Linked DNA regions of Sus scrofa. The protein of the gene in region 4 interacts with the protein of the main gene of each other region in a pairwise test. Links are inferred from orthologs where the notes say so. Each region holds a gene or a part of one and is shown on either strand. Other genes may lie near its edges. The genes, in order: NEFL, FAM131C, E2F1, NDN, LAX1 and EID1.

Region 1 (4,075 bases), on a different chromosome or scaffold from region 4:
GCTCTTGTAAACCGGAGGGCCGTATCAATGTGCACGCCGCGCACACTATTTCAAGTACCTGGATGTTTCCTAAAAGAAATCCATGGATTTCGGACTGTATCTGTTCTGTATTATCAGAGTGAAACGGGTGTAAGAACCACACGGCTGTTTGCTGTCTGTCCCAGAACGAGAGGTCTCCGGGGCTGAGTTCTGCTCCCGGGAGGTGCGCTCCGCGCTCGGGGCGGTAGCAGCAGCTTCCCTCTGAAAAGCAGCCACCTGCATGGCTTGTTGAAATCATCAGGTTGGGTGCTCCACGGGTGTAAAAAGTGGGAAAGGGGGTTTTAATGCGATGGAGTTGGCGGTGTGGAGTAGGAATTTAGGAGTGAAAAAGAAACAGGCAGCGTGTGACAATCTTAAGTTCCCCTCTGCAGAGCTTGCCGCTGCCTCTGCAAGTGGGTTTCTCTTCGGCTTAGTTTCAAACCCATTCTCTCCTCCACCAACACGCTTCAACATGCTCGAAGTATTCGAGGCTTCATTTCCCAGAAATAAATGAGAAAAATCTAGGAACACTAGATAGATATGAACACTAGGTTGATATGAAATGTTCTAATAGTTTAGACATGCTAAAACCAACAGCTGCAGTGCCGCAGTTTCCCGTGTGTGTGTGTGTGTGTGTGTGTGTGTGTGTGTAGAAGCACACAAAAGAAAAAAAAAATAACCAGGAGAAAGGGATAAAGGGACATGAAGAAAGTGCCAGAAACAGCGACAAAGAATTATAAAACTTTCCTCCATGTATTCCGCATTCATACAGTCTTGGAAAATCATTTGTCTTTCCAATACCCCAAGGCATGGCACTGCCACCATTAACACTGGGGAGGGGGGGAAGGGGGATGATGACCCTTGGTGGGGAAGGGGCGAGTTGGGGGAGGAGAGGAGGGTGCCTCTGAGGTGTAGGGATATGGAAATCTAAGGTGTCAGTAGGGAGTGGGAACCTGTTATTGGGGACACATTCGAATCCGATCAAAGCATAAGTAGGATGGGGTGGGAATAGGAAAAGGAAATGAGTTAGGGGTTACAGCGTCTCACAGAAAACCGAGGGCCTCAGTGAAAAGTGCAAAGAACGAGAGCCGCAGCATCCCCGTGGCCTGTGGCTCGCCCCCGCCTTCCTTTTGCGCAGAATCCTCCCCTTGGCTGCAGCATAGCGCTGCCCCCACCGGCCAGGCGCGCCGTGATCGATCGCAGGCTGCGTCAGAATCCTCCCCGAGTATAAATAGGGGTGGCAGGACCGCGCCGAGCCGCACACAGCCATCCATCCTCCCCTCTCCCTCTCTCCCCTGTTCTCTCTAGGCCCCCATCTCCCCTGCCGGGCAGAGGGGCACCGACCGCCACCATGAGTTCCTTCAGCTACGAGCCGTACTACTCGACCTCCTACAAACGCCGCTATGTGGAGACGCCCCGGGTGCACATCTCCAGCGTGCGCAGCGGCTACAGCACCGCGCGCTCTGCTTACTCCAGCTACTCCGCGCCCGTCTCCTCCTCGCTGTCCGTGCGCCGCAGCTACTCCTCCAGCTCCGGCTCCTTGATGCCCAGTCTCGAGAACCTCGACCTGAGCCAGGTAGCCGCCATCAGCAACGACCTCAAGTCGATCCGCACACAGGAGAAGGCGCAGCTGCAGGACCTCAACGACCGCTTTGCCAGCTTCATCGAGCGCGTGCACGAGTTGGAGCAGCAGAACAAGGTCCTGGAAGCCGAGCTGCTGGTGCTGCGCCAGAAGCACTCCGAGCCGTCCCGCTTCCGGGCGCTGTACGAGCAGGAGATCCGTGACCTGCGCCTGGCGGCGGAAGACGCCACCAACGAGAAGCAGGCGCTCCAGGGCGAGCGCGAGGGGCTGGAGGAGACTCTGCGCAACCTGCAAGCGCGCTACGAAGAGGAGGTGCTGAGCCGCGAGGACGCCGAGGGCCGGCTGATGGAAGCGCGCAAAGGGGCCGACGAGGCGGCTCTCGCCCGCGCCGAGCTCGAAAAGCGCATTGACAGTCTGATGGACGAAATCGCCTTTCTGAAGAAAGTGCACGAAGAGGAGATCGCCGAGCTGCAGGCTCAGATCCAGTACGCGCAGATCTCCGTGGAGATGGATGTGTCCTCCAAGCCCGACCTCTCCGCCGCGCTCAAGGACATCCGCGCCCAGTATGAGAAGCTGGCCGCCAAGAACATGCAGAACGCCGAAGAGTGGTTCAAGAGCCGCTTCACGGTGCTGACCGAGAGCGCCGCCAAGAACACCGATGCGGTGCGCGCAGCCAAGGACGAGGTGTCCGAGAGCCGCCGACTGCTCAAGGCCAAGACCCTGGAGATCGAAGCCTGCCGGGGCATGAACGAAGCGCTGGAGAAGCAGCTGCAGGAGCTGGAGGACAAGCAGAACGCCGACATTAGTGCTATGCAGGTCAGGCACAGGGCAAAGCACAGTGGGGGCGGGAGGGGGCTGCAGAGTCGAGTTAGAATTGGGGTTGGGGGGAGAGTTTAAGGCGAGCCTAGAAAGTGGAGATCAGAGATGAGGCATCTGCATTCAGCTCTTAGGGGGTAGAACTTGGCTCCTGGGAGGCTGTGGGAGGGGGTGGGGGCGCAACTGCAGTCCGCAAAGCTGTGCTTGGTGCAGCCGAATTTCTGTTCTGCATAAACCTGCCCAGGCCTGCAGGGGGTTGGGTGGGGTGGGGAAAGGTTGGAAGCTGGGCGTTGCCTCTGGCCTGCTTCTGCTGTTCTGCGTTCACAAGTGGCTTTACTGCACAGATTGAACCATCTGATTAATAAATACAGCAAAGAGCTCTCATTAGTTCTGAAGGGTAACTGTGACCAGCAGCTTTCTTAGTTTTACCAACCACTTCCTTCCCTTAGCAGGTAGACAGGAATACAGTCAAAATTGTAGCAGGTAATCATGGTCACAGTAAAACATTTATTTTTTAAGGACCTCCAGCTTCAGGGGAGGAGAAAAAATAATATAGAGACATAAAAAATATTTTGGATAAATTTTTAAAATCTCCAATTTAGATACTTTATTCTATGAACAGGTGGATTGCTTATATGTAATCTGGTTAAAGTTAACCAGTCAATGAGAAACAAAGATTTTTAAAAATCAGTTTAGTTCCTTGCAGGCATTTTATGATGATGGTCAGGCTGTATTATTAACAAACCAGAAATTTTTCTTCTATCAGTTTTTTTAAGCTCTCTCTCTCTCTCTTTTTTTTTTTTTTTGGTTTTCAAGATTTACGAAGCTGGATTTTTAGGCAAGAAAAGAAAGGTTTAAAAAGAGAAAAAGTAGTTATTTTAAGGGAGATTTTTATCTAAGTGTGCACCTTATTTTAATTAAACCTAGGCCTTTGCAGCTATGTTATAGTAAAATGAGAGCAGTAGGAATTTATACTTGGATTTCTTTTTTTCTTTGGTCTTCCAACAGGACACAATTAACAAATTAGAAAACGAACTGAGAACCACAAAGAGTGAAATGGCAAGATACCTGAAGGAATACCAAGACCTTCTCAATGTGAAGATGGCTTTGGACATTGAGATTGCAGCTTACAGGTAAAAATGGAGGGATGAAGGTAGCAGCCCTTCAGCCTTAGGAAGGAAATCAGACTTCTTTTACGGTGAATCAGAAACCTTCAAGAATAGTCTTGAAATAATTGGCTTTAAAATAAAAGGCCCTTTTTGGCCTTTTCCAAGAAGAATTTAATCCTGTAATAATAAGACCTGTTCTTAGCTTCCCATTACATTTCAAGTCTAATAGGCAGGGCTATTTTTAGGCCTTTTTTTTTTTTTTTTCTGGTCTCAATCATAACATCCCCAGTTGTTACGTTTTGATAGTCTTCAACCCTGCTCCTGCCTGCCTTTGCCTTTAAGGGTGGCATTGGTGAGAGGGATGAGTGATGGGCTCAGCACACTTCTGGTTTCATGTTTGTTTGTCCCATCTTCCCTCTGCCTCTGCAGGAAACTCTTGGAAGGTGAGGAGACCCGGCTGAGTTTCACCAGCGTGGGAAGCTTAACCACTGGCTACTCTCAGAGCTCCCAGGTCTTTGGCCGATCTGCCTATGGCGGTTTACAGACCAGC
Region 2 (3,972 bases), on a different chromosome or scaffold from region 4:
CCATATTCACAATAGTTCCCCGACCCCCATGGCCAGGGTCATTCTCCACCAGGCTTTTACTCCAGAGAGGGCACCGGGCCTGGGCAAGGAGATAACGTCAGCATCCACGCCACTGCTCCCCACCCCCACCCCTTGGCAGTCCCACCGGGCCCAGATCCAGCCCGGCTAGAGGCCTCCAGCTCCACCCCACCCCCTTGTCTCAAACCTCATTCATCCTTCAAACCCCGCTGGTCCATCCCCAAGTTTTTAAAGAGAACCAGTGAACCTGGCTTCCTCACTTGGAAAAGGGGCACAAGGACACCTGCTCTAACCGATGCCCAAGAACGTGTACGGATGGAGTGAGTCGGCAGGATGTAAAAGTGAGCGCTGAGAAGCTGAGGATCTGTGGGCCATGGGCAGGTTTGCTAAGGAGCTGGGGGTGTGTCTGAGTGTGTGGCTGTGTGTAAATGCCAGTGTGTGTAAATATGGGTGTGTGTGTGTGGGTGTACCCATGTGTGTTTGTGTTCGTGGGTAGGGATGTGAGAGAGCCAGTGTGAGTGATTAGAGGGGCCACTGCGGGCCCCATCGGAAGGGAGCTGCGGGTCTGAGAAAGGACTTGGCCATTCTGCACGGGCTCAGCCCAAAGGGCCTTCTCACCTCGCTGCCGGCGCTTGCAGGAGACCCGGTGGAGGGATCCGAACGCTCATCCCCACCCTCTGTATCCCCAGCCTGGGCCAGTGTTCCCCCCCCCGCCACCGATGATGTCCCTGACACCTAAGGGCCCTCAGGCAAGGCATCTGATCTCCGTGAGCCTGTGTCTTCCCCTGCCACTTGGGCACAAGAGACATCTGAATGTCGTGTACTTCTTCGTGGCCCAAATGCTGAAATTTCCCTGCCCCCACCGCCCTCTTCCCTGACCTTCAGCCCCTGTCACCAGGTGGCTCGGGAGGCCCGAGGGCCTATGGTCCCCCTCCAGCTCCCCTGCCCCCTGCCCCGGGGCTGCCCCCGCCCCTAGCCTGGCGGCGGCGGCAACAGGTGCGCTGCGGGCGGGGCGCTGGGGGCGGGGCGGCCTCGCGGGCTCCGCGCTCGGGGCTCCGGGCGAGCGCTCCCCGGGGCCGCCCCGCCCGCCGTGCTGCCCGCGGCTGGCAGGGGCGGGCGCGGCGCGGGCGGCGGTGGCGCTCGGCGAGCCGGGCACGGCGGCGGCGGCGGCAGCGGCGGGGACGACCCGGCGGGAACGGCGGCCGAGCGGAGCGGAGCCCCGGGCCCTTCCCTGCGAATCCGCGCTTCCGCTGCGCCAGCGCCGCGCGTGAGCCCCGGGCCCGCGCAGACATGAGCGCCCGGCGGCCGGACGCACTCAAGGCTCAGCGGCCCGACCCCGAGGCCCCGTGATGGGCTCCTGCGTGTCGCGAGGTGAGGGGGCCACAGATCTTGGCGAGGAGAAGCAGGAATCGGGGGCCCGGGTCCCCGCGCCGGGGACGCAGGCACGACCCCTCGGCCTCTCGGGAGAACCTGGGTGGGGGTGGGGGTAGGGGGACGACCCGCCCTTCGCGGCCAGCCGCACACCCCGCCCCCCCGCCCCCCGCCGAGTCCCAGGGGACAAGGTGCCCCGAGGGGGTCAGGGCGTGGGAGGGGGCAGCAGCGCGGAGAGAGCGAGCGTGGGGAGGTCACCGCAGCCCCGCTTGGAACCACACCCCACCAGGTGGCAGAAGCAGGGTCGCTACCTTTCCAGCAGCCACACGCCCCCTGCCGTGTGCCTCGGAGGGACGGCAGGCTTCTGATTTCTCCTGGCTTCTCTGGAGGGACTGCGGGACGGCGGGAGAGCAAGCCGACCCTCCTTCCCACGCCCTCCAAGACATAGACCTTAGTAGCTCAGTGCCCCCACTTCTGTGCTCCTTACCCCACGCCCCTGACTTCAGAGTCCCAGACCCCACTGGCCACAAGGGGTTAAAGGAGATGAACAGGTTATAAGGAAGGTTCCCCTTCCCCCACCTTCATCCCTAACTCCTCATCCCCACCCCCATCCTTGGTCAGGGGACAGGAAGGGACAGAGACAGCTGATGTTCCCAGTCACCCCTGGGCCTTTCTGTCTGTCTTTAAAAGCCACTCTGACCTGGCAAGCTCCTGCTCTCTTCCAGTGCCTCAACCCTGAGGCTCCCCCCAAGGCCGTGTCTGGGGAGCTGGAGTGAGCTGCCCTGGCACCATAGTGAGTGGGAGAGGGTGGGAGTGGCAGGGACTTCTACACAAAGCTGGGGGGGTTGGGCAGCTTGGCCTTTGGAACCCTCCCCACCACCAGCTTTCCAACAGGCTGCTGAGTGGCATTTTAGAAGAGGTTGGCTGGGCCATTCTCCCACCCTGGTGAGCCTTTTGGGGTGCGGTGAGGGGGTGACTGAGGCCTTGGCTTCAGCGCTGCAGCCTGAAGCCAAACCCACTGACCCCAATCACGGCCTGGGGGGCGCTGCCACCTTACCTGTCACCCCCAGCAGCTTACCCAGATGTGGAGGGATGACCAGGCCTTGAGGAGGGGCTGGCAGGCCCTGGAGGAGACCTATCCCGGGGGGTGTTGGGGAAGGAGCACACCCCCTCCCCCCACCCTCTGCCCTCTCCGGGGCTCTGCCCACCAGTCCCCGTGGGACATTCAGATAGGTGGCTCAGGATGTCTCAGGAGGGTGTCATGGTGGGGATTAGGCTGTTCTGAGGTTCAGCCACTTATTCATTCATGAAGCTTGATGTTAGTGTGACACCTGCTGTGTGCCAGGCACCATGTACATGCCGGGCCCCCAGAGCGATGAGCCCAGCACAGCGCCTGCTCTGAAGGTACAGAATGACCATAAGGGAAGGGAATTTTAAGAGTGAGGGGGAGTTCCCATTGCGGTGCAGTGGAAATGAATCCGACTAGTAACCACTGGTCTCGCTCAGTGGGTTAGGATTATGGATCTGCTGTTGCCATGAGCTGTGGTGCAGGTCACAGGTGCGGCTTGGATCCTGCATTGCTGTGGCTGAGGTGTAGGCCAGCAGCTGTAGCTCGATTAGACCTCTAGCCTGGGAACCTCCATATGCCGCAGGTGTGGCTCTAAAAAGCAAACAAAAAAAAAGAGAGAGAGAGGAATGTTAAGAATTCTTTAGAACCAACAGGCTTTCCGCGTGTCTCTAGAAACCTCGAAGCTCTGAGCAGGCGCCAGGTGTTGGGGAGCTGGTATTTCCCTGTTGTCTGTCTCCCCCATCACTCAGCCATCCCGTGCCAGGTGCTGGAGGCCCAGCCCCAGGTGGGCCCCAGATGGACTTGGCTGTGAGCGTCAGACCCGAGGAGGAAGAGATGCTTGTTGAAGGTCAGGCTGCCAGGCTGTGTCAGGGCTGGGGACCAGGTCCTCTGACCACCTCATCCCCTGGACCTGGTGCTGGAACCCTCTGCCATGCCTGTCTGAGGTTACCCTGACCTAAGAGAGGTCCTCTCCACCCTTCCCTCTGTGGCTGGGGCTCCTGAGGGCCACCTCTAGATCTAGCTGTGTTTTCAGACCCTGTCCCCCTCCTGAGGGAGTAGGCCCGCTTCTAGCCTCCTCATGCATGCAGGCAAGCTGGATGCAGGTAAAGAAGCTGTGAGCCACGTGAGCCGAGGACAACCATTGTCCCAGCGCTCAGGGTTCTGCGTGGCCTGACCACTAAGCGGAGGCCACCCACCCCTCTAATTGTCACTGATACCCATAGAGTGCTTACGGCTTCCCAGGGCCCCAGTGGGAACATTCTAGGCACAACTAGCTAATTTAGGGTATGTACCGTCCCCGCCCCCATTTTACCAATGGAGAAACTGAGCGGGGCCCAGGGCCCCATAGGTAAGAAAGAGCAGAGGCAGGACTTGAATCCAGTCACACTGACTCCAGAGCCTGGGCCCTTGGCCTCTGTACCACGCAGCCGGCCCTCAGACCCAGGGCAGCTTCCATGAGCCCCGAGCGTCCACATCTGCCCCAATTGCTAATAACAGCCCCTTTGCTCCAAGCA
Region 3 (3,500 bases), on a different chromosome or scaffold from region 4:
ACTGCAGTGGTGGGGTCGGCTGCCCTGCCCTCCTCCCCAGAAGCTACCCCCTGGGATGGGGTCTTCCCGGGGCTGATCCCGCCTGTACTCTCCTCAGGGCACAGGAAAACATCGATGGGGCCTTGTTTGCTCTTAAGGGAGATCTGGAAGTTCTGGGCGGAGGCAGCAGGCAGGGCAGAGTGAGGCTCAGCTGACCACCAGCCCGGCCCAGCCTGTCCTGGTCGGGGCCAGAGTCCCAGCTCTTACCTCGGAGGAGTCCACGGCTTGGAGCTGGGTCTCCGGGGGGGCCTTGATCACCATGACCATCTGCTCTGCAGGGTCCGCGATGCTACGAAGGTCCTGGCAGGTCACGTAGGCCAGGGTTGGTGGAGTCAAGGATCACATGACCTTTGGCCTTTAGGGGCCACCCACGGGCACAGCGCAGAAGTCAGAACTCATACCTGTCCGGTCACCCCGGTCCTAGCTGTCTCCCACCTCAGGGCCTGGTGCATAGTTTGTACTCAAGTCTATCACAGGCCCTTGAGTCTCAGTTTCCACATCTGTACTATGAGACCACTTTCCCCTTTGAATCTTAAGGTAATGATGGGCTGCCTGCAATAATTGCATAGAGATTACTTAAATCCAGGCTTGGTTCTGAGAATTTACTCTGACCCATGACCTTGGTGATTAATGGTTATCTCCAAAATGTATAATTTGAATATTTCTTTTTTAAAAAGCTTATTTTATTTTTTTGTTTTGTCTTTTTGCCTTTTCTAGGGCCGCTCCTGCGGCACATGGAGGTTCCCAGGCTGGGGTCTAATTGGAGCTGTAGCCGCCGGCCTACGCCAGAGCCACAGCTAGGCGGGATCAGAGCCGTGTCTGTGACCTACGCCACAGCTCACAGCAATGCCAGATCCTTAACCCACTGAGCAAGGCCAGGGATGGAACCCGCAACCTCATGGTTCCTAGTCGGATTCATTAACCACTGAGCGATGATGGGAAATCCCAAAAAAAGCTTACTTTAAAATAAAGCTTCAGGGAGTTCCTGTCGTGGCGCAGTGGTTAACGAATCTGACTAGGAACCATGAGGTTGCGAGTTCCATCCCTGCCCTTGCTCAGTGGGTTAACGATCCGGCGTTGCCGTGAGCTGTGGTGTAGGTCACAGACGCAGCTCAGATCCCGCGTTGCTGTGGCCCTGGCATAGGCTGGTGGTTACAGCTCCGATTTGACCCCTAGCCTGGGAACCTCCCATATGCCGCAGGAGCGGCCCAAGAAATGGCAAAAAGACAAAAAACAAACAAACAAACAAAATAAATAAATACATAAATAAGTTTACTGGATCTTAAGTGAGAACCAAAGCTGCAAAAATAAATAAATAAATAAATAAAGCTTCAGAGACCCCTGGTGGCTGAGCAGGTTAAGGATCCAATGCTGTCACTGCTGTGGCTCAGGTCATAGCTGTGGGTCGGGTTGGATCCCTGCCTTGGGAATTCCTGCACGCCACAGGCGCCACCAAAAGTTTCTATTTTTTAAACAGAGGACAAATAAAAACTTACATCTCTAACCTGGATGTGACAACCATGAATCACTGTATTCAATCATATTTATTATTACTGATTCTAACTTTCCTTGTTTTTTTTTTGTTGTTGTTGTTGTTGTTGTTGCTATTTCTTGGGCCGCTCCCGTGGCATATGAAGGTTCCCAGGCTAGGGGTTGAATCGGAGCTGTAGCCACCGGCCTACGCCAGAGCCACAGCAACGCGGGATCCGAGCCGTGTCTGCGACCTACACCACAGCTCACGGCAACGCCGGATCGTTAACACACTGAGCAAGGGCAGGGACTGAACCCGCAACCTCATGGTTCCTAGTCGGATTCGTTAACCACTGCGCCACGACGGGAACTCCTAACTTTCCTTGTTTTAATCTAACTTCAGAATAAGGTAATTTTCCCCTTTTACACATGAAGCTGAGACTCAAGAAACGTTAAGTAACCTGTCCAGTGTCACAGAATGAGTAAATGCTGAGCCAGAATTTGTATCCAAAACCAGAACCCTCTCCTGCATCCAGGGCCCAGAGTAGCCCCTCTCTGCCCACTGGGATGGCGCCATGGCCACCTTCCAGGCATTCAAGGATATCGCTGGCTGTCAGCATCCTCGGAAAGCAGATGCAGCTGTGTGGTACAGATTTGGATCAGATGGTCCAGCTGCCGCTCGCTTTCCTGCAGTTGCTGCAGGTCCTGGGTCAATCCTTCAAGCCGGCCACCAATCCCCACTGCTGCATGGCTGCCTCTGCCAGGAGGCAAAGGAGGGGGGTGGTTAAAAGCTCCTTGCCCCTCTTCCCAGGAGCCCTGACCCTCAGTAAGCATCTGCTGCTGCTTCTGTTCTGAGACTCAGGTGAGCCCTAGCCCCTCTCTGGGCCTGCCTCCTCAGTTGGGGAACAAAAGAGAGCTGAAGCTGAGCTCCAAGGCAGGCTGGCTGGGTTCAAAATTGGGCCTGAATGTCTGAACACGCACATGTCTCTCACTGGAAGCTGGATAAGTAAATGGTGGCAGACATGCCATGGAACACTATGCAGGTGTATAAAAGGACAAGAAGGCATTAAATGCAGACATGCAAGCATTTCTATTTTTTTGCTTTTAGAGCCACACCCGTGGCATTATGGAAGTTCCCAGGCTAGGGGTCCAATTGGAGCTACAGATACTGGCCTAAACCACAGCCACAACAATGCCAGATCTGAACTGCGTCTGTGACCTACACCACAGCTTATGGCAAGGCCAGATCCTTAACTCACTGAGCGAGGCCAGGGATCGAACCTGCATCCCCATGGATACTAGTCGGAACTCCCTCTTAATTCCTATTTTACTGGGATCCCGCATTGTGTGGCTGCGGTATAGACCGGCTGCTGTAGCTCCGATTCGACCCCATGCCTGTGAGCTTCCATATGCCACGGGTGCAGCCCTAAAAAGCAAAATAAACAAAGAGAATGAAACAGCTGCATCAAACAACCCCATCAATAGCAACAGAAGCCAAAACAGTGGTTACCTGGTGGTATGCAGAGTGGACAGTGTCTGGGCAGGGGCACAAGGAAACTTTCTGGGATACTGACCCAGATGGTGGTGACCCAGGTGAAGAAATACATAAAGTGGCACTGAGCTGGCTGTGAGATCTGTGTTCTTCCCTGCATCTCTCACCTCAGGGAAGCCACCCCTCCTCTCTAAACCTCGGTTTCCCGGGTAGTAAGACAGGGATGCAGGCAGCCACAGTGGGCACTGCTCTCAGCTCCTCCGGGCTGGCCCGGCCACGGGCCTGCGCCCACCCTCCTGTTGCACTGGTACCTACAGCCACTGGATGTGGTTCTTGGACTTCTTGGCGATGAGCTGGATGCCCTCGAGGACGTTGGTGATGTCGTAGATGCGCCGTTTCTGCACCTTCAGCACCTCAGCTGCCCAGTTCAGGTCGACGACACCGTCAGCCGAGCGGCTCAGCAATTCCAGGAAGCGTTTGGTGGTCAGATTCAGCGATG
Region 4 (2,718 bases):
TGTCCATACTGAGCCCCTTTAAGTCCACATCACCACACTCCAGACAGATGTTTCCTGTGCCCAGCAAGATCACAGAGAGAGAGGTCTTGACTTTTCTCTTGGTTAGACCAGCTTTACTGGTGAGTTCGTCCAAACTCTCTAGTACCTGTCTACCCCCATACACATCATCAGTCCCATGTAAAAGAATAAGATGGAAAATGTCTCAATGTATTTCATAAGTTTAGCACGTCTCTGGTACAAAAAATTCAAGAAAGGTAGCACAAAAGCGAAAGCACCAACTGAGCTTACTTATAAACAAACATGCATGAATCCTACACACTACCTAATTATTACTGAAATGAATACAACATTGCATTAAAAGGTATAAAAGCACTGTACTGAAAACGTAAAAGTTACACGTGAAATACTGCACTGTAAATCCTGAATACTCTAATGTCCCACCCCCACCCCTCCACCACCCTGGTGAGGGTCAGAAACCATCAATCTGCCTCCAGACCTTGCTAGTCCTCGGAGACACTGTTGCGGGGGCAGTGGGCAGTGGGGTTGGCCTCCCGCAGGGCTCTGGCCTCTTCCAGAGCTTCCCTGTAGCGGGAAGGCCAGGCCTGGGGGTCTTTCTTAAAGACCCTGGCCAGGAACTCCATGATTTGCATCTTGGTGATTTCACGGCTGGCACGGGAGCCCCAGAAGAACTCATACTCAGGGGGCTCGACGTGGGGGACGCGCTGGTACTTCAGGTAGTTCTGCTGTACGAACTCCTCAGTGATAAGCTTTCTCACATCTCCAAAGGTGGAGTGCTTCTTCCAGGGCCTCAGCCCCAGGATGCGCAGCACGTTCCACACAGCACTCTCACGGGCACCGCGACCCTTTACGTAGATGAGGCTCAGGATCATCAGCAGGAGGCCTGTCATAGGCATGCGGTTGCTCAGAGCAACCCTGTCCAGCTCCTCAGGCGCCAGAGCTTTGACCAGCGAGAACTCCATGGTGTGCAGGCTGGTCAGCCTCAGGTGCAGCCCGAACACTCGGGCGAGGATGAGGCTGGTGCGCCTCAGGATGCTTCTGCACCACTTCTTGTAACTGCCGATGACATCTTTCACCATGTCTGGGAACCAGATGATCATCCTTTTCTGGTCCTTGACCAGCACGTACCACATGAGCTCATGTGCCTTCTGCACCAGCTGGGCCGGGGCCGGCGGCGCTGGGCTGGGCTGGGCTGTGCTCCGGGCCTGGTGGGCGCGGCCTTCCTCCGCGGCCTGCTGTAGAGCCTTTGGGTCTCCCTCTTCGCTCAGGGCCTGGGGCGGCGGCGAGGCCAGAGGGGCGTCGGGTGGGCCTACAGGAGGGATCTCTGGCCCTGCGAGGGTCGCGGCCTGGGACGCAGGCGGAGAGGGCCCCCCGGCCACCCCAGGGCTGCTGTGCACCTCGGAGTGGGAGGCATCGGCTGCAAAGTTGGGGTCACACACGTCCTTACTTTGTTCGGACATGTTTGCTCCGTCTGGCAAGGGCTCGGCCGCTGCGTCCAGGAGCTCTTCGACTCTGCGCTCCCTCGGTGGACTCCTGGAGAGGAAGTGCGCGTTGCTGCGCGCGGCGCCTTCCGCAGCGGCCGGGCGGGGCGGGGCGGCGGCGGGACAGGCTAGTGCGCCTGCGCATCCGTGGTCTGTGGGGGCCCTGCCGGCTGGCGGTAGGGGCGGGGCGCCTGGAGGGCTGGGGTGTATTGAGGTCCCAAAGGGGTAGGGGGCCTAGTGGAATACTGGCCTCATGACCCACAGTCGTCCAGTTTGGGCTAAGGAGGCGGTCCTGGGGCCGGGGGGAGGAGCGACATGGGTGAGCACTGGACAAGGAGCAAGTTTAAGAGGAAAGATGGAAACTTAAGCTTCCAAGATGCTGAAGCTGAATTTCTTAGGAAATGTTCAATTGGGTATATGTAGAATCAAGTTAGATGTGAGTTTCAGAGAAAGGCCCAGGTTGGCACATAAGCTTGGGTTTTGGATAACAAGTGTGAGAATTTAAACTGACAGAACAATCAGGGTCACCCAAGAAAATGTGTCAACTCTGAAAAAGATGCGGGATATCAGAATCATGAAAGATAGCAATAAAAATTGATTGATTCACTGCGAGTTCCCATTGTGATACAGCGGAAAGGAATCTGACTAGTATCCATGAGGATGCAGGTTCAATCCTGCCCTTGCTCAGTAGGTTAAGGATCTGATGTTGACATGAACTATGGTGTAGGTTGCAGACAGGGCTTGGATCCAGTGTTGCTGTGGCTGTAGTGTCAGCTGGCAGCCGTAGCTCCAATTCTACCCGTAGCCTGCTATGGGGAAAAAAAAAAAAAAAAAAAAAAAAAAAAAAAGATTTCCTGACTGCCAAGTCCAGGGGGTTATGAAGGAAAAATGCAGAATGTAGTCAATACATGTACAACTGAAACTTTCTTGAAGACAATGTACTAATGATACTGTTAGGTGCTTGAATGGTCATTGATTTTGGTTTTTCTACTTCCCTTGGGTAATTTTGATGTAATTTTAATTTTTTGATTAGGATCTCATCACACAAAGATTGCTGTATTTATTAGCACAGACTAGTATGATGTCTTTCTACTTGTTTGTCCAGGAAGGACCCTAATTCCCCTTATGACTGATGTAGCCTTCACGGGTGTGTTCGTGTAGACCCCACCTCTGCGCTTTCACACAAACTGACTGGTTCCAGAAATTGACAGCCACACCC
Region 5 (4,193 bases), on a different chromosome or scaffold from region 4:
GTAAACCAGATTGAGCTCCTCCTCTGTTTGCAAACTTCCATGATTGCCTGTCACACTTGGGATGGCATCCATGGTCCCTACCCAAGGAGGACATCATGGCATCTTCTGTTCTGGCCTCTGGCTGCCTTTGGCCTTGTTTCCTATCACTTTCCCTCTGATCCCGAAGGTCAGGCCTCCGTGCTCTTCCTGGCAGAGCACGGTCCTCTCTCAGACCTGCCACTCCCTCTCCCATGGCTCAGTCCCTCATTTCATTCAGGTCTCTTCTGAAATGCCATCTCCTCAGACTGATCCTCCCTGGCCACACCCTACTACTCTCAGTCCCTTGTGTCTGCTTTGGTTTTTCTTCATAGCACTTATGGCTGGCTGACATTATGTGATCCGTGCATGGGTTCCTTTGTTCCTATCTGACTCTTCCACTTGACTGTAAGCTCTAGGAGGTCATGGACTTGTCTGTCCTATTCATCTGGTGCCTGGAGCAGTGCCAGTAGGGGCCTGATGAGTATTTGTTAACTGAATGAAGGAATGAATTAGCAAAAAAATTAATGAATAACAAAATACAGCTGGGGGGGGCGCTGCAGGGTTCTGACACTTTATGAATTCATTCCCCATCAGTGCCCCTGTCCACCTGCCAGTGACGGGTATTTGTTTGTCATGGGTCATAACATTACCTCCCCAAACGACAGTGATTTAAAATCACATTATTACATATTATTGCTGTATTCTCATCATAGCACAGAAATTGTACTCTTATCATAGTGCAGAAATGTATACCTCCCAGTGTGAAAGTTTCAGCAGCTGATGGACTTTTTATTTTTGCTAATACGGTGTGGAAGCCTTTGGCAATAAAAATTTATATCTACAATGAGTTCTGTGAGATTCTAGGTCCTAAAGACCTATCTTTAGCATACCTATGATTACATGTTTATTCATGGCAAGTTTTTCTTTATTTAAAAATCTTGTTATAGTTGATTTACAATGTTCTGTCAATGTCTGCTGTCCAGCAAAGTGACCCAGTCATATGTATAAAAACATTTTTTTTTTTCTCATATTACCCTCTGTCACCTTCTACTACACGTGATCGGATATAGTTCCCTGTGCTGTACAGCAGGATCTCATTGCGTATCCACTCCAAATGCAATACTTTGTATCTACTCACCCCAAGCTGGCAGTCCACCCCACTCCCTCCTCCTCCCTCTTGGCAACCCCAAGCCTGTTCTCTGTGTCCATGAGTTTGTTTTTTTTTCTGTAGATAGCTTCATCTGTCACAGCAAGATGTTAGAACCGAGAGACACATCTGTGGAAAAAGTGGGCCTTTTGTGTCCATCGTGGTGGGAACTAGTTTTTGTTTTTGTTTCTCTGAGGAGTGATGGGTGGGACCTGGGGCAGGAAGACAGAGGACAGCCATCGGGCCTCTGAGCATGAGAAATTCAACCAGGGCTGCCAGCTCTAAGGAAGCGCCGCCTTATCGCAGTTCCTCTCCCCCAACAACGCCTTTTTCTCCTCAATGCCCATTCCTTTCCTCCCCGCGGTTTTGAGCAAACTCCGCTGAGCCTAGAATTAAGTGGTCTCTGGGGACCCGAGCCTGGTTGTGAGGCTGGCCACGCTGCTGGGGTAAAGCAGGGCATTCTGTCTACATCAGCGGAGGGGAGCACTCACCACCGTGGCCACTCACCTGTCCAGGGTGCTGAGGGTTCCCTGTAGAGTGCTGGGCTGTGAGGTCCTCCCTCTGACCTCTGAGATGGCCGGCGTGGTCATGCCCATTATCCCCGGACCCTCTCTGGCTTCAGCTTCTCCTTCCAAGCCTTCTCTCAACCATCATTAGCTCGCCAGCCTGTCTGCCCGTTTCCTGGCTCTTCCTTAATTGCTGACTCCCAGGACAAAAGGCAGAATTGGTTTGTGTTTTCCATACATACCTGTGTGGTATAACCACTTATTTTTAGTAGATAAGCATGGCAGGAGTTTCCATTGCGGCTCAGTGGAAACAAACCCAACTAGTATCCATGAGGATGTGGGTTAGATCCCTGGCCTCGCTCAGTGCGTTTGAGGATCCGGTGTTGACGTGAGCTGTGGTGTAATTTGCAGATGCGGCTCAGATGCTGTGTTGCTGTGGCTGTGGTGCAGGCTGGCAGCTACACCTCCGATTTGACCCCTAGCCTGGGAGGCTCATATGCTGGGGTTGCGGCCCTAAAAAGACACAACAAAATAAAACAAAACAAACCCCACTCCCTAATGTACAACTTTTTACTCTCAAAATTTCTTCTTAAAATTTTCTTCATCAAAGTCCCTCACAAGAAAAAGTCTACTAGTTTTTATTTCTTCCTTTCTAAAGCTTCCAATCTAGAACTTTCTCTCCCCCAACAAACTCCTTACCATGAGTCTGTTCCTGAAATGTCAGGCTGAGCTGACCCAAAATACAAAACAGGTTTGGTTCTACCTGGATGTGTCTTCGATGCCAGAGGGGAGAGCTCATCCGGGTGTGGACTCCCCAGCACAGCTGCTCAGGGAGAAGCCGGGTTCCCTGCCTCGTCAGAGCATGAGGGGTGCCGCGGGGGAAAGAGAAGCTGGAGAGAGGTTCCGTGAGAAGCTCATCTTCCCCCAACCCCCAAAGCAAAGAGAAGAGAACAAACAGTTTGCCAGAATGGAAACAGAGAGTCAGCTACAGGAAGCAACACCACCAACGTGCTAATGAAGCCTGGGGCCCAGGAAATGCTGCTCAGCTCTTAATAAGATAGAAGCAAACTTGCCTGCCCCATCTTCCCGGTGGCTGTGGTCTGTGGGGAGCATGATTCAAGATGGGGCAAGGTGGTGGGGTTTGCGATTTGTTCACCTGGGGTTGCTGAGAATTTATGCGCTTTATAAGCCTCCAGATTTGCATTGTGTGCTTTAAGCAGGTCTAAGGAGCACTGGGAGGTGTTTTTTAGAAACAAACGCAGATCCCTGGCACCTGCTGCTGATTCATGGGTAGAGGGTGCAGAGGGGGATGGGTGGTTTTCATAAACACACCGCAGGTGATTTTGACCGAGCTGGTCTGCTTCTTTTCCTTTCCTTTCCTTTCCTTTCCTTTCCTTTCCTTTCCTTCCCTTCCCTTCCCTTCCCTTTCTTTTCCTTTCCTTTTTCTTTCTTTCTCTCTCTCTCTCTCCTTCTTCCTTCCTTTCTTTGTCTTTTTAGGGGTGCACCCCTGGCATAGGGGTCTAATCAGAGCTACAGCTGCCGGCCTACGCTACAGCCATAGCAATGCATGATACAAGCTGCCTCTGTGACCTACACAGCTCAGAGCAATGCCGGATCCTTAACCCACTGAGCAGGGCCAGAGATTGAACCAGCATCCTCGTGGATATTAGTCGGGTTTGTTACTGCTGAGCCACAATGGAGCTCCTATGGGGGTAGCAGGGCCCTTGGGGGCCTCCCTCGTGCCCGTAGCTGCTGCCATCTTGCTCACAGAGCTCTTTCAGAGAAGATCCATCCCAGGATGGTGGTTGTGCACCTGTCTCAGAAGCTGGAAAATTCACCGCCCCCACGCTATGTCTACACAAAGTGCTCCAAACTTTGAAGATTGTTCAAAGCTTTTTTCTAGCTTCCTCCCCCTCTTCCTTTTACCAATTTCCTGACACTCTCTTTCATCTTGGGAGAGTCCAAGGAGAAGGGTGTGAAAAGACTATTTTGAGGGGGTGAGAAGAGCCTCTAGGAGTTTCCGCTGTGACACAGGGGGTTAAGTATCTGACTGCAGCAATGGCTTCAATCCCCAGTCCCGTAAAGTGGGTTAAGGGATCCAGGATTGCTGCGGTTGTGGCTTAGGTCACAGCTGAGGCTCAGATTCAAACCTTGGCCCAGCAACTTCCATATGCCATTGGCACGGCCATTAAAATAAGAAGAAGATGGAGTTCCATCGTGATGAAGCGGAAACAAATCTGACTAGAAACGATGAGGTTGTGAGTTTGATCCCTGGCCTCGCTCAGTGGGTTAAGGATCCGGTGTTGCTATGAGCTGTGGTGTAGGTACCAGACGTGGCTCAGATCTGGCATGGCTGTGGCTGTGGCTGGCAGCTATAGCTGCTATTAGACCCCTAGCCTGGGAACCTTCATATGCCGCAGATATGGCACTATGAAGAAAAAAAAAGAAAGAAAGAAAGGAAGGAAGGAAGGAAGGAAGGAAGATCCTCTGACTTCACTTTCCACAAGGAAGTGGATTCCCAG
Region 6 (3,881 bases), about 20 Mb from region 4:
TGAGTGCCACAGTTTAACCTCTTTCCCCACCTCTGCTCCCATGCTAGTGTTTGAATTATGATCATCCTTACTTGCTAGTTCTGTAATTTACAGAGAAGAATCCCCTTCCCTGAAAGACAGGATAACTGTAACATAAGTAGGCTCTGAGTGGTCGTGTTGTATTGGCTGTGTCCTTTACTGCCATAATGGAGCAAAAACATCTGGTACTTTTTCACTGGGCACAGCCTTCTGACTGCTATTCACATAGAACTTCAGCAATATGCTTATTGATTTGGTAGGTTGTCCCAGGTTGGTCAATTCTCTTATGGGAATTTACTAAGTTTAATTTCCACCAATTAATTTGTAAATCAGGTATGTGAAGCTAGAGAACTTTCCCTTTTTGTTTTTTTTTTAGTGGTTAAATTTAAATCATAAAGTGGTTGCGCCCATACATTAAAGTAGTATATAATACAATAAAAGTAGAATTAGAGAAAGTATGTATGCAATACCATTAGACAAAATACACAGAACAAGAAATTTTTATTATCTGGAATGCTGGTGCATAACCAATAACAAGCTTAATTAGAGGAGGAGACAGAGGAAAAACTTCAGATACTGAGGTGAATTTCTGGGCAGGTTTAAAACCCTTAAGGGCTGACAGCATAATTGTTCATAAAGTCTTTTGTAGATGTAGGGCTCTCCTTTTACTTGACAGTTTTCAGTTAACAGTTCTTATATTATGAAGTTCAACCAAAGTCTTTTGCCTGTAAAGTTACATGAAAAACAAAGAGCAAGTAAAACAGAAAATTTCTCTAGTATATAAAGATGTTAGTTTTCTTTGTACTTTGACATTCTTAGTTTGAAACTTTATTAAGGACGTCTTAATTTTTGACTTTTAAAAATGGTCAAGACGGTAAATTTTCTTGAATTCAAGATTACAGTAGTGTTATAAATGATCAAGATATATGTACAAACAATATCTCAGATGCTCTTGGAAACACGCTTTAAGATATAGCACACATGATACACATTTCTTTGGAGGCTCGATTATTCTTTTGCAATACTGAAGAATACTCAATTTACCTTTCGCTAAAAATTTAGCCTTTGGATAATAACTACAGCTTGGCTTAGATGAATCACAAAATGACATCTTCAGTATGCTTTCAGTCCAAATAACTCAGACATGTGGTGTCCAAAGTTGGATAAATTAGTTACTTTTTCTCATATGATTAACATCAGTGGGCTCTTGTACCGGCCATGTGTCTTGGTTTTTCTTGCAAAGCCATCCGGAAATGTGAAAGATACTTTCCCAAATGCAAGGAAATTAATCTAGATCAGTAACAGAGTCAAAGCCACAAGTGTTTCACGACATTCTTGAAAACAGGTTTCAACAGTACTGAGATCCTTTTCCTTTAACAATTTTCTTCCTTTCCCATAACTGTGAAGTCACTTTCCTAGTCTACACTGCCCCCCCCCCCATTTTTTCTTTTGGATCAAGTGTTTCATTGGCACGGAACTATTCGGAATGAACCCAAGAGACTGGAATGTTGTTGGGTCTCTCCTCAAGTAGTTTCCTCCTCTCTTCACAGCATACTACTCTCTATCAATAATCTCATCACAGCCGAGTTCTTCGGTCAGACGATTGACAACCATAAGTGAAAAAAGCTCCTCGATAAAAGCCAACTGATCGAACGGGGTCTTCTCATAATGCATCTGAAATCCGCCCCCCAGAGCTGCTTCTCTCGCTCTGGAGGTCCTCAGAAACATCTTGTTGGCTTCTTCCAGGGCCGCTGAGACTCTGTAGCCCGCACCACTCAGCTGCTCCTCTTCCGGATAGTCGTAGTCGTCCTCCCAGTCATCAAATTCCTCGCCCTCGTCCTCGCTCTCGAAATCAGGGCCCGCGATCTGGCCCGGGCGCTCCCCAGGGTTGGGCCGGTTAGCGAGGCCTCGCTGCCCCTGCGGCTCCGCCATTGGCTGGGCCACCTCCTCCTCCATTGGGCCTTCCTCCTCCAGCTGTGGCGGGGCCCCGGAGCGGGAGGGGTTCGGGGACGGCCCCCGGCTCCCGCTGCCTACCTCCATTTGCGGAAGGTCGCTCTCGCCGGGCATCACATCCATCTGCAGGTCATTGCTCTCCTCATAAAGCTCGGACAGCTCGTGCATTTCCGACATTGTGCAATCGGCTAGACCTCTCGCCAAGCGTTTTCTGCAAGATCTGGGCTACGCGGCCGCGCGGTTGTGCGCTTGCGCACACGCCGTGGGCTTGCGTGACCTTGAGCGTGTGCGCGACCCCCAGAAATCGCCTCCTGCTTGGCGCGCTGCTCAGTCGGCAACCGCTAGCTGTTCGCTCCTGGGGACTTACGGGACCTTGGTCCTTTCAGACTAAATACACTTACAAACGAGAGCATTGCTTAGCCCCTGCCTTACTTAGTCATTCTGCTTCTGATGCTGTAATCTTGAAAACACTTTACACATCTTCTGTAACACCCCTTAACCCTCCTCCTCCATCGCCTTCCTCCTTCCTCCCTCCGCTTTTCGCTCCTCCTCCTTCCCCCATCCCCAGGCAATCACATCTTCTCCTAGGTTTTAACTACTTTTTTCTAGGCGCAAATGACTGCTAAATCTGCACCTCCAAAGCAAAAGATGTTCTGAACCACAGAGCAATATATTAAGAATTGATCCATCCATCTCTAATATTAAAAAAAAGTTAAATGAACAAATAAGCATATTAAAGGTGTTCTACAAAGAAAAAATAAATAGAAGAAATACTTGCTCCTGTTTCTTTTTGCAGGAGACATAACCTTACACTGTTAGCAATTCGGTGTATATTCTTTAAATTCCCTCCCCCCCTTTCTTTGCATTTACGTGGATCTCTCTATTGTCTTCTGGAAAAGTCTTTTTTTTTTTTTTTTCTTTTTACATATCTTAACATAATTGTCTTCAACTTTCAAAACAAGGAAACGAAAAAGCCCTCAGCAATGTCTTGAAGATTTAGCAGTGTTAGTGTCCACAGACATGTGTTTTTCCTAGTATGCTACTTGTATAGCAATGTTGCAAATGACCTAACAATGCACAAATAATTTTATAATTTTTGATATTTAAAATTATGGGTAAAAAAAAAAAAAGAAAAAACTATGGGTAAATGAACATCCCCAAATGACAATATTTCTCTCAAATGAAAACCTAGAAGTGCAAAGGTGAAATTGTAGGGTATTCATCCTTTAGTTTTAATAAATGTCAAATTGCTCTTCAAAGTTGCTGTGCAAATTTAGGCTCTAGCCAGCCATATTTGAGAATATCCACACCCTTGCCACACATTATTTTGTTGATTGTTAACAATTTTATCACTTAAAGGTGTATTATTTTATTTTTCATAGTCTTATTACTTGGAAATTATCTTTCAATATGTTTAGTGAACCTATGTATTACTTCTGAAAATTAAATGGTCTTATTTTAGGTTTGTTTATTTTTCTTATTGATGTAGGAATTTCTTATAAACTGAGTGTATGAATACTTTGTTTCACATGTTGCAAACATTTTCTCCCTGCCTCTTGTTTCTTGTTTCAAGGGTCTTTTAAAAAATGTTTTATTGAAGCATAGTTGATATATAATGTTGTGTTAATTTCTGCTGTATAGCACAGTGGTTCAATTGTACATATAAACATATCCTTTCTTTTTCAGATTCTTTTCCCATATAGGTTATCACAGAATATTGAGTAGAGTTCCCTGTGCTATACAGCAGGTCTCCAGTGACCATCCATTTCATATACAATTGTGTCCATATGCCAATCCCAAACCACCAATCCATCCCTCCCCCCATCTTTCCCCTTTGGTAACTATAACTGTTTTCGAAGTCTGTGAGTTTGTTTCTGTTTTGTAAATAAGCTCATTTTTTATCATTTTTT

What was found.
Region 1: the proteins of NDN (region 4) and NEFL interact in binary tests that used the Homo sapiens proteins (3 or more experiments, as listed by UniProt). The link is inferred for Sus scrofa from reciprocal best matches to the Homo sapiens genes NDN and NEFL.
Region 2: the proteins of NDN (region 4) and FAM131C interact in a two-hybrid assay, tested with the Homo sapiens proteins (2 studies listed by BioGRID and IntAct). The link is inferred for Sus scrofa from reciprocal best matches to the Homo sapiens genes NDN and FAM131C.
Region 3: the proteins of NDN (region 4) and E2F1 interact in a two-hybrid assay, tested with the Homo sapiens proteins (2 studies listed by BioGRID). The link is inferred for Sus scrofa from reciprocal best matches to the Homo sapiens genes NDN and E2F1.
Region 5: the proteins of NDN (region 4) and LAX1 interact in a two-hybrid assay, tested with the Homo sapiens proteins (2 studies listed by BioGRID and IntAct). The link is inferred for Sus scrofa from reciprocal best matches to the Homo sapiens genes NDN and LAX1.
Region 6: the proteins of NDN (region 4) and EID1 interact in binary tests that used the Homo sapiens proteins (3 or more experiments, as listed by UniProt). The link is inferred for Sus scrofa from reciprocal best matches to the Homo sapiens genes NDN and EID1.

What each region holds. Positions count from the first base shown.
Region 1 is NC_010456.5:8,994,101-8,998,175, reverse strand, and holds the start of NEFL (neurofilament light polypeptide), read left to right. Parts: upstream 1-1,275; 5' UTR 1,276-1,369; coding exon 1,370-2,416; intron 2,417-3,424; coding exon 3,425-3,549; intron 3,550-3,954; coding exon 3,955-4,075. UniProt on the Homo sapiens protein: Neurofilaments usually contain three intermediate filament proteins: NEFL, NEFM, and NEFH which are involved in the maintenance of neuronal caliber.
Region 2 is NC_010448.4:75,209,321-75,213,292, reverse strand, and holds the start of FAM131C (protein FAM131C), read left to right. Parts: upstream 1-1,172; 5' UTR 1,173-1,367; coding exon of another isoform or gene 1,368-1,389; intron 1,390-3,970; exon of another isoform or gene 3,971-3,972.
Region 3 is NC_010459.5:37,180,119-37,183,618, forward strand, and holds part of E2F1 (transcription factor E2F1), read right to left. Parts: coding exon 3,317-3,500; intron 2,267-3,316; coding exon 2,114-2,266; intron 362-2,113; coding exon 247-361; intron 153-246; coding exon 1-152. UniProt on the Homo sapiens protein: Transcription activator that binds DNA cooperatively with DP proteins through the E2 recognition site, 5'-TTTC[CG]CGC-3' found in the promoter region of a number of genes whose products are involved in cell cycle regulation or in DNA replication.
Region 4 is NC_010443.5:142,411,448-142,414,165, reverse strand, and holds NDN (necdin), read right to left. Parts: upstream 1,479-2,718; coding exon 501-1,478; downstream 1-500. UniProt on the Homo sapiens protein: Growth suppressor that facilitates the entry of the cell into cell cycle arrest.
Region 5 is NC_010451.4:64,459,160-64,463,352, reverse strand, and holds the start of LAX1 (lymphocyte transmembrane adapter 1), read right to left. Parts: upstream 2,801-4,193; 5' UTR 2,371-2,800; intron 1,914-2,370; exon of another isoform or gene 1,865-1,913; 5' UTR 1,762-1,864; coding exon 1,673-1,761; intron 1-1,672. UniProt on the Homo sapiens protein: Negatively regulates TCR (T-cell antigen receptor)-mediated signaling in T-cells and BCR (B-cell antigen receptor)-mediated signaling in B-cells.
Region 6 is NC_010443.5:122,809,984-122,813,864, forward strand, and holds EID1 (EP300-interacting inhibitor of differentiation 1), read right to left. Parts: upstream 2,499-3,881; 5' UTR 2,149-2,498; coding exon 1,573-2,148; 3' UTR 501-1,572; downstream 1-500. UniProt on the Homo sapiens protein: Interacts with RB1 and EP300 and acts as a repressor of MYOD1 transactivation. Inhibits EP300 and CBP histone acetyltransferase activity.